2 linked regions of the Caenorhabditis elegans genome follow. The protein of the gene in region 1 interacts with the protein of each later gene in a pairwise test. Each region holds a gene or a part of one and is shown on either strand. Other genes may lie near its edges.

Region 1 (7,454 bases):
GTCGACAGTTCAGCTCAAGGGATGTACCATTAAAAGTTATTCAAAATTTATTAAAAACGGCTGGTAAGAACTAAAGAAATGATAACAATTATAGTCACTCATTTTCAGGCACATCTCCGAGTGTTGGAAATCTTCAACCATGGACGTTTTGTGTTGTTTCAAGTGATTCAATTAAAACAATGATCAGGAAAATCTTAGAAGCGGACGAACGGGATAACTATGTCTCTAGAAAGTGAGTTATTTTTCATCTTTGCCAGGTCTTCAACCAGTCTCATATTTTTGGGTAAAAGTTGTGCTTTAAAGATGAAAGCCGTAACTATTAAAACGTAGAAAGTTCGGTCCAGTGATAAAAAGGTTTTATTTAAAAAATAGTCAAATCAAAAAAAAAGCCAAAAAATCGTAAATATACAGGGAAAGGACTGTGAGGCTAATTCATCTACGAAAACTGATTTTAAAAGACTTCTTTCCAGAAAAGGAGCTTCTTGGGTAGTTGATGTATCACAATTACAAGACACGTGGCGGAGGCCATACATTACAGATGCTCCATATCTATTAATTGTTTGTCATGAGGTTTGATTCAAAACAATCTTAAAATCAATCCTCAAACATCTGGTTTTCAGATATTTCGTGACGTGCATAGTAAAACAGAACGGGTATTCCACTATAATCAAATAAGCACATCAATTGCTGTTGGCATCCTTTTGGCTGCAATTCAGAATGTTGGATTGAGTACTGTAGTGACGTCACCGTTGAATGCAGGACCCGATATTTCAAGAATATTGAGGAGGCCTGAGAATGAAAGTGTAAGCAGATGATAGAGTATAGTACAATCCAAGTGGTTAATTGCAGATACTACTGCTACTTCCTCTTGGTTATGCGTCAGAAGACGTGCTTGTTCCAGATCTCAAAAGAAAACCGGTCGAACATATCACCAAACTATATTGATTTTGTCATTCACTTTTCATCTCCCATGTTCCTTTCAGATTTTTTAACATTTGAAATTCATTTTTCTTAATAAAATCAGGGTTTATTTTTATTAGAAACTCGTACGATTTTTAATAGTTACACTGGTTTATATTAAGGGCAGGTTACAAGCTTTAAAAAAAGATCAAACATATTTTATTAATTTTCTTGGAAAATAAGAAAACAAATCAGGGGCAGGGGGTGTTGGAAATCAGTTTGTACAAAAACCCGGATCAACTGTGATTTCGGCAGGTGTGAAATTGTTTTGAAGAAAGTTCGGAAGGATTTTGGGAAGGAAAACGACACGTAGAGAGAATGTGATACACATTGGTTGGGTGAAAATGACAATTTTCAGTAAAGATTTTTAAAAAATTTCGAAAAGTGATTATCGTCCATAATCAAGCATAAAATCATCAACAAAGTCATCTGCATCTGGCTCAGTGAGCCAGAACTTTGCATTTCTTCGAACTCTTCTTGATTGACGAGCAACTGATGCACATAATTGAGCTTCGTTCATATTGCACCATCCACATGTTGCTTGACAATTTTCAGCCATCCATTGACGACGGCGGGTACAGAAGTTCTGTCCACGCCAGTAGGCACAAGATATGTGACGATCATGACATCCTGAACTCATTTGGTTTTATAATTACATAGGAAGTTTTCGATTATTATGATAAAACGCAAAATATTTCAAAATTGACTCAAGTAATTCCACCCAGTTGAGACTAACTATTAGAAACTAGGTTTTCATTTTAGGTAGACGGGGAGGCCTCTCTGGGAATTTCTAGATACACCTGCTCGTTGAGATTTTATAAAATATCCCATTTTTGCTACTCAAAACACACCTCTATTGTTATCATTAGACTGACACAATCCACAAGATTTCCTACAATATCTATTCATGTAAACTGTATTTGTTCGACACTCATTCTGACGAGACCACTGATTACAGCATGGATCTTCGTTGTAGCAATTCTGAAATATTAGACATTTTGCACGTGTTCCAGTGAGGATTAGCTTACAGATTGTGGGGTTGTGGCTGGTCTCTGTTGCTGTGGTTGCTGTTGCTGGGGCTGCTGCTGAGGTTGTTGAACAGTAGCCACTGCAGTGGTTTGCGCTGGCTAAAAATATTAATGTTTGAGTTTTTTTAATACGGGTATAAAAGTATATAATTGAAATTTTTATCAAGTATGGATTCATGTTCAAAAAATCTGAAACTTAAGCTACATAAAAAGTTGTCGTACCTGTTGGAACTGTTGTCCACCTCTACACCATCCAGCAACACATGTACCCATGTAACAAGAATCTAATCCTTCGAATCCACGGCACAAACCACCTGGCTTCACCTTTGCCACGCAATGTGGATTGCCACGTGTATCACAGAACAGATATTGAGATCCGCAGTTGGCATTATTACGGTTACACGTTGGACGAGGAGCATAGTGATACAAATTATCAGTGTAGGCATTCGAGAGACCTGAAGAAAATTGGAAACTTTTTACACTTTCAAATTTTTTACAAAGTTAAAAATAATCTGGAATCGTTGTTTTAGTATGCTAGTCAATTAATTCACACTTTCCAGTAGACTTTCCAGACAGCATAATAGAGCAAACTTACCATCACGATTAATTTTATCCCAAGGTCTCATTTGAGCATAACTGAAGTGTTGAGAATTGGCACAAGCGGCAATGTCTGGTGGATATTGCTGAAAATAAATCTTTTTACAGTAATTTTTCATAACTTTAACGAACATTTTCTCTTGCAAATCTATTCTGGTGATTTTGTCTCCACATTTCCCAAATAAAATCGACAAATGTGTGATGGAGGAAGAAGACTGGGTCATTTGCAGATGTTGATGGTGGTTTCATGTCTCCGCCCATCCATAAATGAATTGATGCATGAGTATACTCAAGCGCTCCAAAATAGGGACGGAATGGGCATCCTGCAATATTTCAAAATTTTAAGTAAAATTCGATAAATAAATAGATTACCTCCTTGTGGAGCAGTGAAAGCCATTACGCTAACCAAATCATTTTGTGCCATCAAATTATTAATATTTTGTTCAGTGAACATTTTCCCTTCAGTAGCCATTCTTCTAATAATATTAGGCCTTCCTTCAAGTGTTCTGAATCCAGCAAATGGACCACTAACCAATTGACCAGAAGCATCAGTCATTCCCATAAATTGTGGTCCAAACATAATAGAGTCTCTTGGATCGGGAAGATATGATTCTAGAACAGAATCCCAATATGGCATAGATATTCCTGGATCAATCATTCTAAGAGCAATTTCCATTCTTTTCATGTATTCTCTATGCCAGACAAGGAAGCCTGGACCGGAATGAGCTCCGGAGGCTGAGCCAACTTGTCGATGCATTACTGAAAGACGATCGTATTCTCCTGAACGTTTCAATTGTATTAGGGCATTGTGCCACCGTTGTCGTTCGTTATCTGACATCATTCTAAAATTTTGTTTGTAAATTTTTTGTAAATTAGATGAAATATGTAATACCTATACTCTTTTCTATATGCCATTAAGTAAGGTTGCCCATTTGGTAGGATACATCCATTTGCCATTCGTCCCTAGAATTTTTAAATTTTGTTTTATTTTTGTTTTTCAAGCATTTTGTCTTGAACATTTCTTCTTGGAAACATCTTAGATTGCCAGAAGTATAATGGCGCGAGGAATGTACGATTTAAATAGTTTAAAATGCACAGTTACTTCGCACTTGGTACAAACTTTTTGAACAAGTGGTATAAAAAATATTAACTTGATTCAGAATTTGCCAAAATTAGGTTTAAGACAAACCTAAATTTTGCCCAAGTTTGATCTAAAGAAAATTATTTAGGAACTAATTTTGACAAGAGTAAGATTAAACTTAGGTTTATCTTGAGGATAGCTTGAACGAACTTCAGCAACTTCGGAATCAAGGTAATATTTTTTGAGCCTAGACAGACTAGACAAGAAGTTGAAAACAAATGCCAAGTAGTAAAAATGAAAGTAACATTCAAACAAACCCCCATATACGGACAGATGCATGCTATATTCATGCATCCTTGAGCTGATGGAGCAAATCGTGGTGGATTTGATGGAGAAAACCCCTGAACTCCTGGAGCACCTGCATTGAATGCCTGCCGTTTTCTAATTGCCTTCCGTGCAGCACTGTCCCATTCTTGGAGCATATGGCATGTTTGGACCATGTCTGAAAATTTTTTATTCTTTGTTTTTTGAAAAGGAAAGGAATTGGTAATTGTTTTATGTTTTCTAAATTTTTTATACTTTTAAACCTAGTTGTGAGAAACATTAAGAAACTTATAAAATAGTCAATTTATTTTTTGCAAAAGTATTCTGAATACCCTACCTGAATCAGGAGCCTGTGAGCAATTAAAGTCGGCATGTACTGTGCTAATAACTGCCAGTGTGCCGGAAAACAAAAGGAAGGCACGAAGCCGACCCATTTTTGTCTGAAAAGGGATCTTTTGAGAGCATAAAATAAAAATAGATGACGAGGATGACCATGAGGAACCAAATAAAAAATCCGAACTTGGTAATGTTCTCCAAAAAATCATTTCTGGTGAAAATTTGGTTTGACCTTCTGGTAAAATGTTTAGTGATTGATTTTTATGTAAGAATGTTGACAAGGAATGAAAATAGACAACAAGAAATACAACTTGATTAAAAAATCATTATCTGTACATTTTGATATCTCAACTATATTCTACTAAAACGATTGTCCTTTCAAATAGGCTAAGCAATGTGCTACAGAAAGTTCACAACTAGAGACGGGAAGCTTTCAAAGTTAGAGAGAAAGTTGGCAACGTTAGACTGAAAGTAAACAATGTTCCACAAAAGTTTGGTAGTCGAAGTTGAAAAGTTGACAGAATGCTACTGAAAGTGCTGAAAGTAGTCCTAGATTTTTAGGTATTCATTTTAAAAAAATCTCTCAAAACCTTCTACCATGATTTGAAAAAGTGACCGAATAATTCAGAATTTCCAATTCTGACCATTGCCTCCCACTTTTCTCTTCTAGCTAAAAGTGAAAAACGAGAGTGTATACAATATTGGGAGACAGTATAAGAAATTCCATTCGAATTGACCTTCGTGCGTCTCGATTGCGTATTCTTTTTATTTACACCTTCTACCTCAAAACTACAAAAATAGCTCATTTCTCTGTCCACCCTCTCTTAATTTTGCGCTATTTTATTAAATTTTGCCGGTTTCTTTGGGATTCCTCGTTCAGATGCTAATTGTTGATTCAATTCAGTTTCGAAAGTTCACGCGTCGGAGGGGGTGGAGCCAATTGTTTGGCGAACACATGATGGTTGCGAGGAAAGATTCAAGAGAAAAAAAAAATGATAAGATCACCTCGAGAAAACCCTAAAATTTGAAGAAAAAAACGGATAGAATTCGTGAAAAGATTGACGTCAATTTGATGATTGCGCGACGATCACGGCCTAGAAACAATTACATAGAATGAGTCAGTAAATAGTCAAATGTCTAGTAGGTCAACTAGGGAAACCTTGCAGATATGAATTTCAGAATTTTTTTTTTCAGAGTTCAAAAATATTTGAAAAAGTACCGCGAGCAACTCTTAATTTTATTTAGGTCAAAAACTAGCTTTGCTATGCTATGCTCAACATTTTCTTTAAAATCTTTTCTTTTTTGGAAAAAAGATGTAAGCCTGAAGTTTAAATAGCTGTGCAAGAATGTTTTCAGACTTTTTCAGAATATTAAAAATTGAAAAAAACTTCCAGAATGATCACCTAATTATTAAGCATCCTACAAAATCAAAAACCCACAAAAAAAAAGATTTTGGAACAATTCTACATACAGGTACTGAAAAATTTCTGATCGAAATTTGAGGTGTTAACTAAAACATGACTCGTCAAGAAGGCTGAGTGTAAATTTAGAACCTTTTCTTGTTATTTTGAAGTTTTCAAGTTTTCAAGCTTAACCTGAACTATTACATACCTGAGCCTTATCATTTAGCCTGATCAAGCCTTCTTCTAAATTAGTCTTTCATGAACTTTCTCTATTGTTAGATTTTTGGAAATTAGGTGATTTTTAAATAACATTTTTCTCTTCTTTCTAACCTTGTAGTCTTAAAGTATCAATCCGCAAAAGTCACGAATTATATAGAAAAACATGCCGAAAAAAATGCGAGAAATTTTGAGAAAAACAAATAAAATTCAAAGTTCAAGGTGATCGGGCAGCGACAAAATGACCACTTTCGCCTTTTAGTAATTCCATTTGGGAATAGTAATTAGTATTTTATAAAATCTATGAAATCGCAAAAAAAGAAATGCCCACTGGGTCTCGAACCGGTCGGTTACAAACCTGGTTACTCTTTCAGTTTTCGAAGCAAAAAACTATTGTGGGTGTTGATGTAGTGGTATGGCGATGTGGGGAAAAAGAGAGGGAGTTCAAATTATCCAATGAAAACCGGAACTAAACCAAAACAAAACATCCAGAACGAGTAAGGGAAACTACTGTGGATTGCTTTTCAAAATTTTAATCTTGAACGGAACATGAAAAAGTTTGTATGTGGATAAAATCAAAATCAGGATAGCATTTTTGCAGAAAAATCGGAAGTTCGTGTTTGATAAAAGATATGCATCAATTTCTAGTGATACGACACAACCTTCACCTACATTTTACTTTTTTTTTTTACAAATTCAGTAAACGAACAAACTTCGACAGTGAGAAAATAACAAGAATATTTTTAGAAATCCCTTGGTTTTGAAATCAAACTATGATACTTGACAAAAATGAAAAATTAATAAGAACTGCTGGGTCACTATCATTTTGATGACCTCTGACTTCTACTTTGGAGGTCAGTTATAAGAGTGGGCGGAGTCTTATCTTTTTGTGTAATTGACAACGTATGTCTAGTGCACTTTTAGACTGTTTTTCTCTTGTCACATGATGTTAAAAGTTAAATTCCGTGTAAGTACCAAGGAATGGTTTTGAAGTAATTTGAGATGCTAATTTACCTCAAAAAGACGTTCTCCCAAAAAAAAGATGGTTCCTGAAAGTGTCGAATAATTGAAATAGATAACTATTTTCAGATTGAAGCCTAAATGTCTTTCTGCTGTTTTCAGTTTAAAATTTCATTCATAACCTCATTTTTAGTAAACATACATTCACATACCGTCACAATTGGACCACTAGCGAACATATTTGTGTAAAAATTAATTAGTAATGCCACGCCAATTAATTGTGACTTTTGAACTGTCAGAAGCAGTAAAAATGTATGATTCATGGTTCGGGCAAGATTTATTTTAAATTAAAATTTTAAAACAAATATCTTAAAAATAAAACTTGTGGGAAATATCTCAAAAACACTACTACCAAGGGTGTCGGTTTTTTTTTTAATTTTCAAATGATCTAAATATCTGAAGTTTAGGACAGTTTCATTTTTCATCAAAATCACTATATCTTTTCCATTTAGTTCCTTCAAAAAATGAGCTTAAAAATCGAGTTTTTCA
Region 2 (6,458 bases), 6.8 Mb from region 1:
CCAAGGAAATACAGGAAATTTGAGCAAAAATTGAGCAAAAACTGCCGAATTGCAGAGAAATGTCACAAATCCAAGAAAATCGGCGAAAATCCATGAAAAACGATGAAAAATGCTCCAAACTGACCGAAAAAATCCGAGGAACTGGCGAAAAACTTGAAAAATACCAAAATTAGAGTGAAAAATTGGCTGAAATCCTGGAAAAAACTCGAAAATATCACTAAAAAAACAAAAAAATGTGTAAAATAATCATAAAAGAGGTTAAAAATCGCGTTTTCCGTCGAAAATTAGCATTTTTCGGGGGTAAAATCGATATTTTTAACCAAAAAAGGCTACGAAACGGGTGCACCATGACACCAATTATCGATTTTTTAAAACGCGCGTTTTAATTGGGCGAAAATTGAATTTTAAACTCAAATTTTCAGGTTTTTGACCGAAAAATCGGATTTTTCCGCAATTTTTATAGTTTTTTTCCCGAAAAATCAAATTTTTGAACAGAATTTCAGATTTTTAGCAGGAAAAATTAGGAAAATCACATTTTTCTATGAGATTTACTCTTTTTTCGCTGAAAAATTAGGTTTTTTTCAGAGAAAATCGCATTTTTTGGTTGAAAAATTGAGTTTTAAGCTCAAAAATTGAGGTTTTTGACTGAAAAATCGAATTTTTCTGCAATTTTTACAGTTTTCATTAGAAATGTTAGCATTTTTCGCAAAAATTTGATTTTTAATTGGATTTTTTTTTTATTTTTTCTCCAATTTGTTGGGTTTAAAGTGGATTTTTCTCCGGAAAAATCAGGAAATTTACATTTTTCTCTGAGATTTACTCATTTATAGTTGAAAAATTAGGTTTTTTTCAGGGAAAATCACATTTTTACAGGGAAAAATTGAGTTTTAAGCTCAAAAATTGAGGTTTTTGACTGAAAAATCGAATTTTTCTGCATTTTTTTCGCTTTTTTTAACTGAAAAATTGACTTTTTTGGCTGAAAATCGAAGATTTTTACTGAAATTCAGCGATTTTTCCATATTTTTAGCTGAAATTTCCAGATTTTCAGCCTTTTTTCAGCTCTTTTCCAGCCATCTACCTCGAGCAAATCGTTGGGCCCGCAATTGAGAAGAATAAGCGTCGTTTAGACCGTTGTGACAGGCTTCTCGTCATTTTTTGAGCCGGAATTTCCTCCGAAATTGGTGGTGTTGGCGCTTTTTGGAGCTGAAAATAGTGAAAAATCCGGGTTTTTAGGGGGTAAAAATTGGGAAAATCGGGGGTTTTTAAGCTTTAAAAAAAGTGGAAAACCACGATTTTTCAACTGAAAATGGTGAAAAAACCCGACTTTTGGGGTCAAAAACACCTAATTTTCATGATTTTTTCACTCAAAAACCCTGAAAATTCGCATTTTCCTGCAAAAACTCAACCTTTTCCTCACAAATGAACAAATCGTCGTAGCTGCTCTCGATATTCTCCTGGTTTTTCAATTTTCGGACCATCTGAAACGAAAATTCGTTGAATGTTTTGGTATTTTTCTGCGAAAAAATGCAAAAATTTGAGATTTTAGCTAGAAAATTGGGTTTTTGAGCTAAAAATTGCAAAAATTTTGGATTTTTAACTGAAAAATCGGGATTTTGAGATTAAAACTGGGTTTTCAAGGTAAAAATTGCAAAAAATTGATATTTTTGCAAGAAAATCGCAATTTTTTTTGACTAAAATTAAGTTTTTCGGCGAAAAAATGCAAAAATTTGGGATTTTTAGCTGGAAAATCGGGATTTTGAGATTAAAATTGAGTTTTTCTGCGAAAAATGCGAAAAATAGCTTCAAAATCAAAATTTTCAGGGCTTCCAACAGATTTTTACCCTGAAAATGGAGAATTTTAACCCAAAAATTCATAATTTTTTAGGTTTTCCTATGAAAAAGTTTATTTTTAGGTCAAAATTCCGGTTTTTCAGTGTAAAAACCAACGAAAATCAAGAAATTTTAGATGTAAAAGTCAACATTTTTCTGAATTTTCGGCAAGATTTTCAAGGAAAAATCGGATTTTTGACCGAAAATGCATAATTTATAAGTTGAAAAATGTATTTTTGTGGTTTTTTTGGCTGAAAAATATCAAGTTTTCCACGGGAAAATGTGATTTTTAAGTCAAAATCTCGGCCTTTAAGGCTAAAAACTTTCGAAAATTGAATTTTAAGCCAAAACTATGCTTTTTATGGCTGAAAATGCAATTTTTAGTCACAAAATTCAAAATTTTGAGGAAAAAATCGGGTTTTTAAGCGTATTTTTGTAGTTTTTGCCGTGAAAAATCGTTTTTTCGGACTAAAATTAGAGTTTTTTGGCTGACAAATGCGATTTTAAGGTAAAAATCCACGGTTTTCCGGGGTAAAAACTGTCGAAAAATCCGAATTTCGCATCAAAATCCGTCGTACATTATCAAGTGTAATGCTGGGAATCATCGCTGCAAATGGTCCAACGTCGAGTTTACAGATTACACAGGCTCTCGTATCACGTGTATGTCGTTCGATGCACGGCTCACAGTACGAGTGCCCACATGTTACCATTACGGGCTGAAAATTTGGAAAAATTGGCTGAAAATTGTAAAAATTAGGGTAGAAATGGGGTTTTTCGGCTGAAAATCGAAAAAATCGGCGGAAAACTGGGATTTTTGACATAAAAATTGGAAAAATCCGGGAAAATTGATGGTTTTTGGGCTAAAAATCGGAAAACTCCGCTGAAAAACTGGGGTTTCTTGAGCTAAAAATCTGGGAAAATGGGTGATTTTTGAGATGAAAAACGTAAAAAAACGGGAGAAAACTGTGTAGTTTTTGGGCTAAAAATTGTAAAAATCCTGAGAAACCGAGATTTTTGGGTTAAAAATCGGGAAAATCCTGGGAAAAATCGGTGATTTTTGAGCTAAAAATTGTGTAAAAATCGGCAGAAATCGGTGTGATTTTTGGGTTAAAATTGTAAAAATCCGGAAAAATTTGGATTTTTCGGCTGAAAATTGAAAAAAATCTTAAAATATTGAAGTTTTTTGAGCAAAAAATTGGAAAAATCTGGAAAAATGGGAGGTTTTTGAGCTGAAAATCGAAAAAAATCGGTTATTTTTGAGCTAAAATCAGAAAAATCCGAAAAAAATCGGTTATTTTTGAGCTAAAATCAGAAAAATCCGAAAAAATTGGGGTTTTTTGGGCTAAAAATTGTAAAAGTCCGGAAAAATTGTGGGTTTCGAGCTAAAAATCGTTAAAATATGGGAAAAACTGGAGTTTTTTGGCTAAAAACCGAAAAAATCCGGCAAAATTGGGGTTTTTAGGGCTAAAAATCGGAAAAATCCAAAATTTTAAGCTAAAATCTGTAAAAATCCGAGAAAAACTGGGGTTTCTGAGCTGAAAATCGAAAAAAATCTGAAAAATTGTGGTTTTTAAGCTAAAAACTGTAAAAATCCGAGAAAAACTGGGGTTTTTGTGCTGAAAATCTTAAAAATCCAAAGTTTTTAGTCTAAAAATCGTAAAAATCGGCAAAAAACTGTAAAAATCCGAGAAAATCTGTGATTATTATGCTAAAAATCGGAAAAAATGCGGTTTTCTAGCTAAAAATCCCCAAAAAATCGTGATTTTTGGCTGAAAATCTGGAAAAATGGGCAAAAACAAGACAATTTTCGGAATTTCAAGTTTTTATGAGAAAATTTCGCATTTTTCCCCGATTTTTCACATTTATAGCTGGAAAAAGACGAAAATTGCACATTTTTGGGTCAAAAATGGGTAAAATTAAGCGATTTTTAATGGAAAATCCGCCATTTTTCACGCAATTTTTCTTGAAATCCTCGGTATTTCCATGTTCTAACCCTGTCGAAAAGCTGATCACACAGTGGACAGAGGAGTTCCGAGCTCAAATCGCGTCGAACCGGCTGTTGAACGTCGTTGATGCACTGAAAATTGTGTTTTTAGGCGGTTTCCAGGGCGAAAAACACGATTTTCTGCTTATTTTCCAGCAAAAAATGCGTTTTTTCGATTTTTTTCGCCGCTAAAAATCCGATTTTACCGCTGTAGAAGTAGTTGCGTTGGACTCCAGCAGACGTGGCGATGAGTTGGCAATCGATAAATCGCTCTGCGAAGCCCGTATTTGAGCGGATGAAGTGTCTAAATCCGTCATTTTTGGGCTGAAAATGAGGATTTTGAGCCTGAAAAATCATTGAAAAACGCTGAAAAATAAGTATAAAATGCATGAAAAGTACAGAAAACTGGGAAAAACAACGGGGTTAAGGAATACAGAACTTTATATGTACAGAAATAATGAAAATTGTTAGAAAATTTCCTCGGCGACCTTCTTCAGCTCATCCTGAAACTCTTTTTGAAGAGAAAACGCGAATTCCTTGACTTTATACTGCTCCTGGAGGTCTTCGAGTTCTAGGAAATGGGAAAATTATTGTGAAAATTCACTAAATTTCTCACGTTTTTCCACCAATTTTCGCTTCTCGAGCGTCTCCTCCAGCTTCCGATCGGCCTCGTCCATTTCCTTGTTAATTATCTGCAGTTTGGAGGCGCAAACTTCTTGGAGATCCGAAAAATCTTGGGTTTTCGGCAGTTTTTCGACTTTTACCGCGAGAACTTCGTTGATCATGTCGTCGATTGATTTTTGCATTTTTTTTGATTGCTGAAAACTGATAAAAATTTGGAAAAATTATAAAAAACAAAAAAAATAAAAATAAAAAACACGAAAAACGTTTAAAAATTAAAAAAACAAAAAAACAAATTTCAAACAAATCCATTTTCGCGCCATCGGGTCTCACCACGACAGGCACTTGGCATCGTGCCAAGTGCAAGTGCGCTCCATCGCTCTCTTTTCCGAAAGAGCGTCTCGTGCAACGACATCTGACATTTTCGAAGGGAAATTTATTGATTTTTCGGCAAATTTTTGGGTTTTAAGGTGAAAAATCTATTTAAAAGTGTTAAAAAATTAACTTAAAATGGGGAAAATACCCTGAAAAATCGAGTTTTTTATCTTTTATCCTTAAAAACGTAAATTTCCCAACAAAAAAAAAATTATCCTGCATTTTCCCTTCGTTTTTACGAATTCCAGATGTCCGACGACAGTTCAAGCCCCCTCACAACTCTCAAAATCCTGATTATCGGCGAAAGTGGCGTAGGGAAGTCGAGGTGAGGGGTTTTCTCGCCCAAAAAAAATTTAAAAAAATCAATTTAAATTCAAAAATTTTCAGCTTAATGCTACGATTCGTGGACGATGTCTTCGATCCTGAGCAGGCTGCAACGATAGGTTCGTGGAAATTCCAGGGATTTTTGGATTTTTTGATTTTTAGGCCAAAAAAACCCTAAATTTATTGTTTTTTAGGCGTGGATTTCCGCGTAACTTCAATGGCAATCGACGGAAATCGTGTAAAACTCGCAATTTGGGACACCGCCGGCCAGGAGAGGTTCCGTACCCTCACGCCGAGCTATTATCGTGGAGCACAGGGCGTAATTTGCGTGTATGACGTCACTAGCCGCAGCTCCTTCGAGAAATTGAATCATTGGATGCAAGAAGTCGATACTTATTGCACAAATGACAATATTATCAAGATGATGGTCGCGAACAAGATTGATATGGTGCGAAAAAGCCGATTTTGTTCGATTTTTGGCCTAAAAAATAATTTTCAGCCAAATCGAGTGGTAACCCGCGAGGAAGGCCTAAAATTCGCAAAACGCCACCGCACACTATTCATTGAAGCTTCTGCGAAGACTAAGGAGGGTGTACAGTGCACATTTGAGGAGCTTATCGAGAAAATCATTCAAACGCCCGACTTATGGGACAATGACCGCCCGTCTTTTCGGTTGGGACAACCGACGGGCTCCAGTGGTGGCGGCGGAATGTGTGGATGCTAGGAAATTCTCGCGGAAAATTCGTTCATTTTGACATAAAATCGATATTTTTACTGTAAAATTCATCAATTTTCACCTAAAATCCTGTTTTTTTCATGTAAATTGTCAAAATTTGACCTAAAATCCTGTTTTTTCCATGTAAAAACGTGAATTTCGGTTTAAAATCGCCAATTTTCCCTCAAAATCGCCGTTTTTTCCATATAAAAATGTCCAACTTTGGCTTAAAATCGCTGGTTTTTCATGCAAAGTTTATCGATTTTAACCTAAATTAGGCCTTTTTCCATGTAAAAATGCAAATTTTCCCCTAAAATCGCCAATTTCCCAGCAAAATCGCTGTTTTCGATGCAAAATTCATCAATTTTCACCTAAAATAGCCCGTTTTTTTTCATGTAAATTGCCAAATTTTGACCTAAAATAACCATTTTTTCATGTAAAATCGCCGATTTTGGCTTAAAATCGCAAATTTTCCCCCATAATGGCCGTTTTTCATGGAAAATCGCCGATTTTGGCTTAAAATCGCCAATTTCCCATCAAAATCGCTGTTTTCGATGCAAAATTTATCGATTTTCACCTAAAATAGCTATTTTTCCCTGTAAAAATGTC

Evidence for each region. Proteins that work in one complex are often made in the same cells at the same time.
Region 2: the proteins of tyr-1 (region 1) and par-2 interact in a two-hybrid assay, tested with the Caenorhabditis elegans proteins (one study listed by BioGRID).

What each region holds. Positions count from the first base shown.
Region 1 is NC_003281.10:7,870,757-7,878,210, reverse strand, and holds tyr-1 (Putative tyrosinase-like protein tyr-1), read right to left. Parts: upstream 4,431-7,454; 5' UTR 4,425-4,430; coding exon 4,328-4,424; intron 4,169-4,327; coding exon 3,984-4,168; intron 3,549-3,983; coding exon 3,478-3,548; intron 3,428-3,477; coding exon 2,958-3,427; intron 2,909-2,957; coding exon 2,718-2,908; intron 2,672-2,717; coding exon 2,584-2,671; intron 2,444-2,583; coding exon 2,211-2,443; intron 2,088-2,210; coding exon 1,989-2,087; intron 1,942-1,988; coding exon 1,812-1,941; intron 1,591-1,811; coding exon 1,349-1,590; 3' UTR 1,017-1,348; downstream 1-1,016. Other genes in the region: sup-18 (Iodotyrosine dehalogenase 1 homolog), read left to right, coding at 1-63, 109-232, 471-570, 621-803, 850-945.
Region 2 is NC_003281.10:1,079,082-1,085,539, reverse strand, and holds the start of par-2 (RING-type domain-containing protein), read right to left. Parts: upstream 4,146-6,458; 5' UTR 4,132-4,145; coding exon 4,021-4,131; intron 3,908-4,020; coding exon 3,824-3,907; intron 2,547-3,823; coding exon 2,409-2,546; intron 1,479-2,408; coding exon 1,407-1,478; intron 1,204-1,406; coding exon 1,079-1,203; intron 1-1,078. Other genes in the region: kbp-4 (KNL (kinetochore null) Binding Protein), read right to left, coding at 4,282-4,385, 4,431-4,620; Ras-related protein Rab-18, read left to right, coding at 5,059-5,135, 5,198-5,253, 5,329-5,582, 5,634-5,858.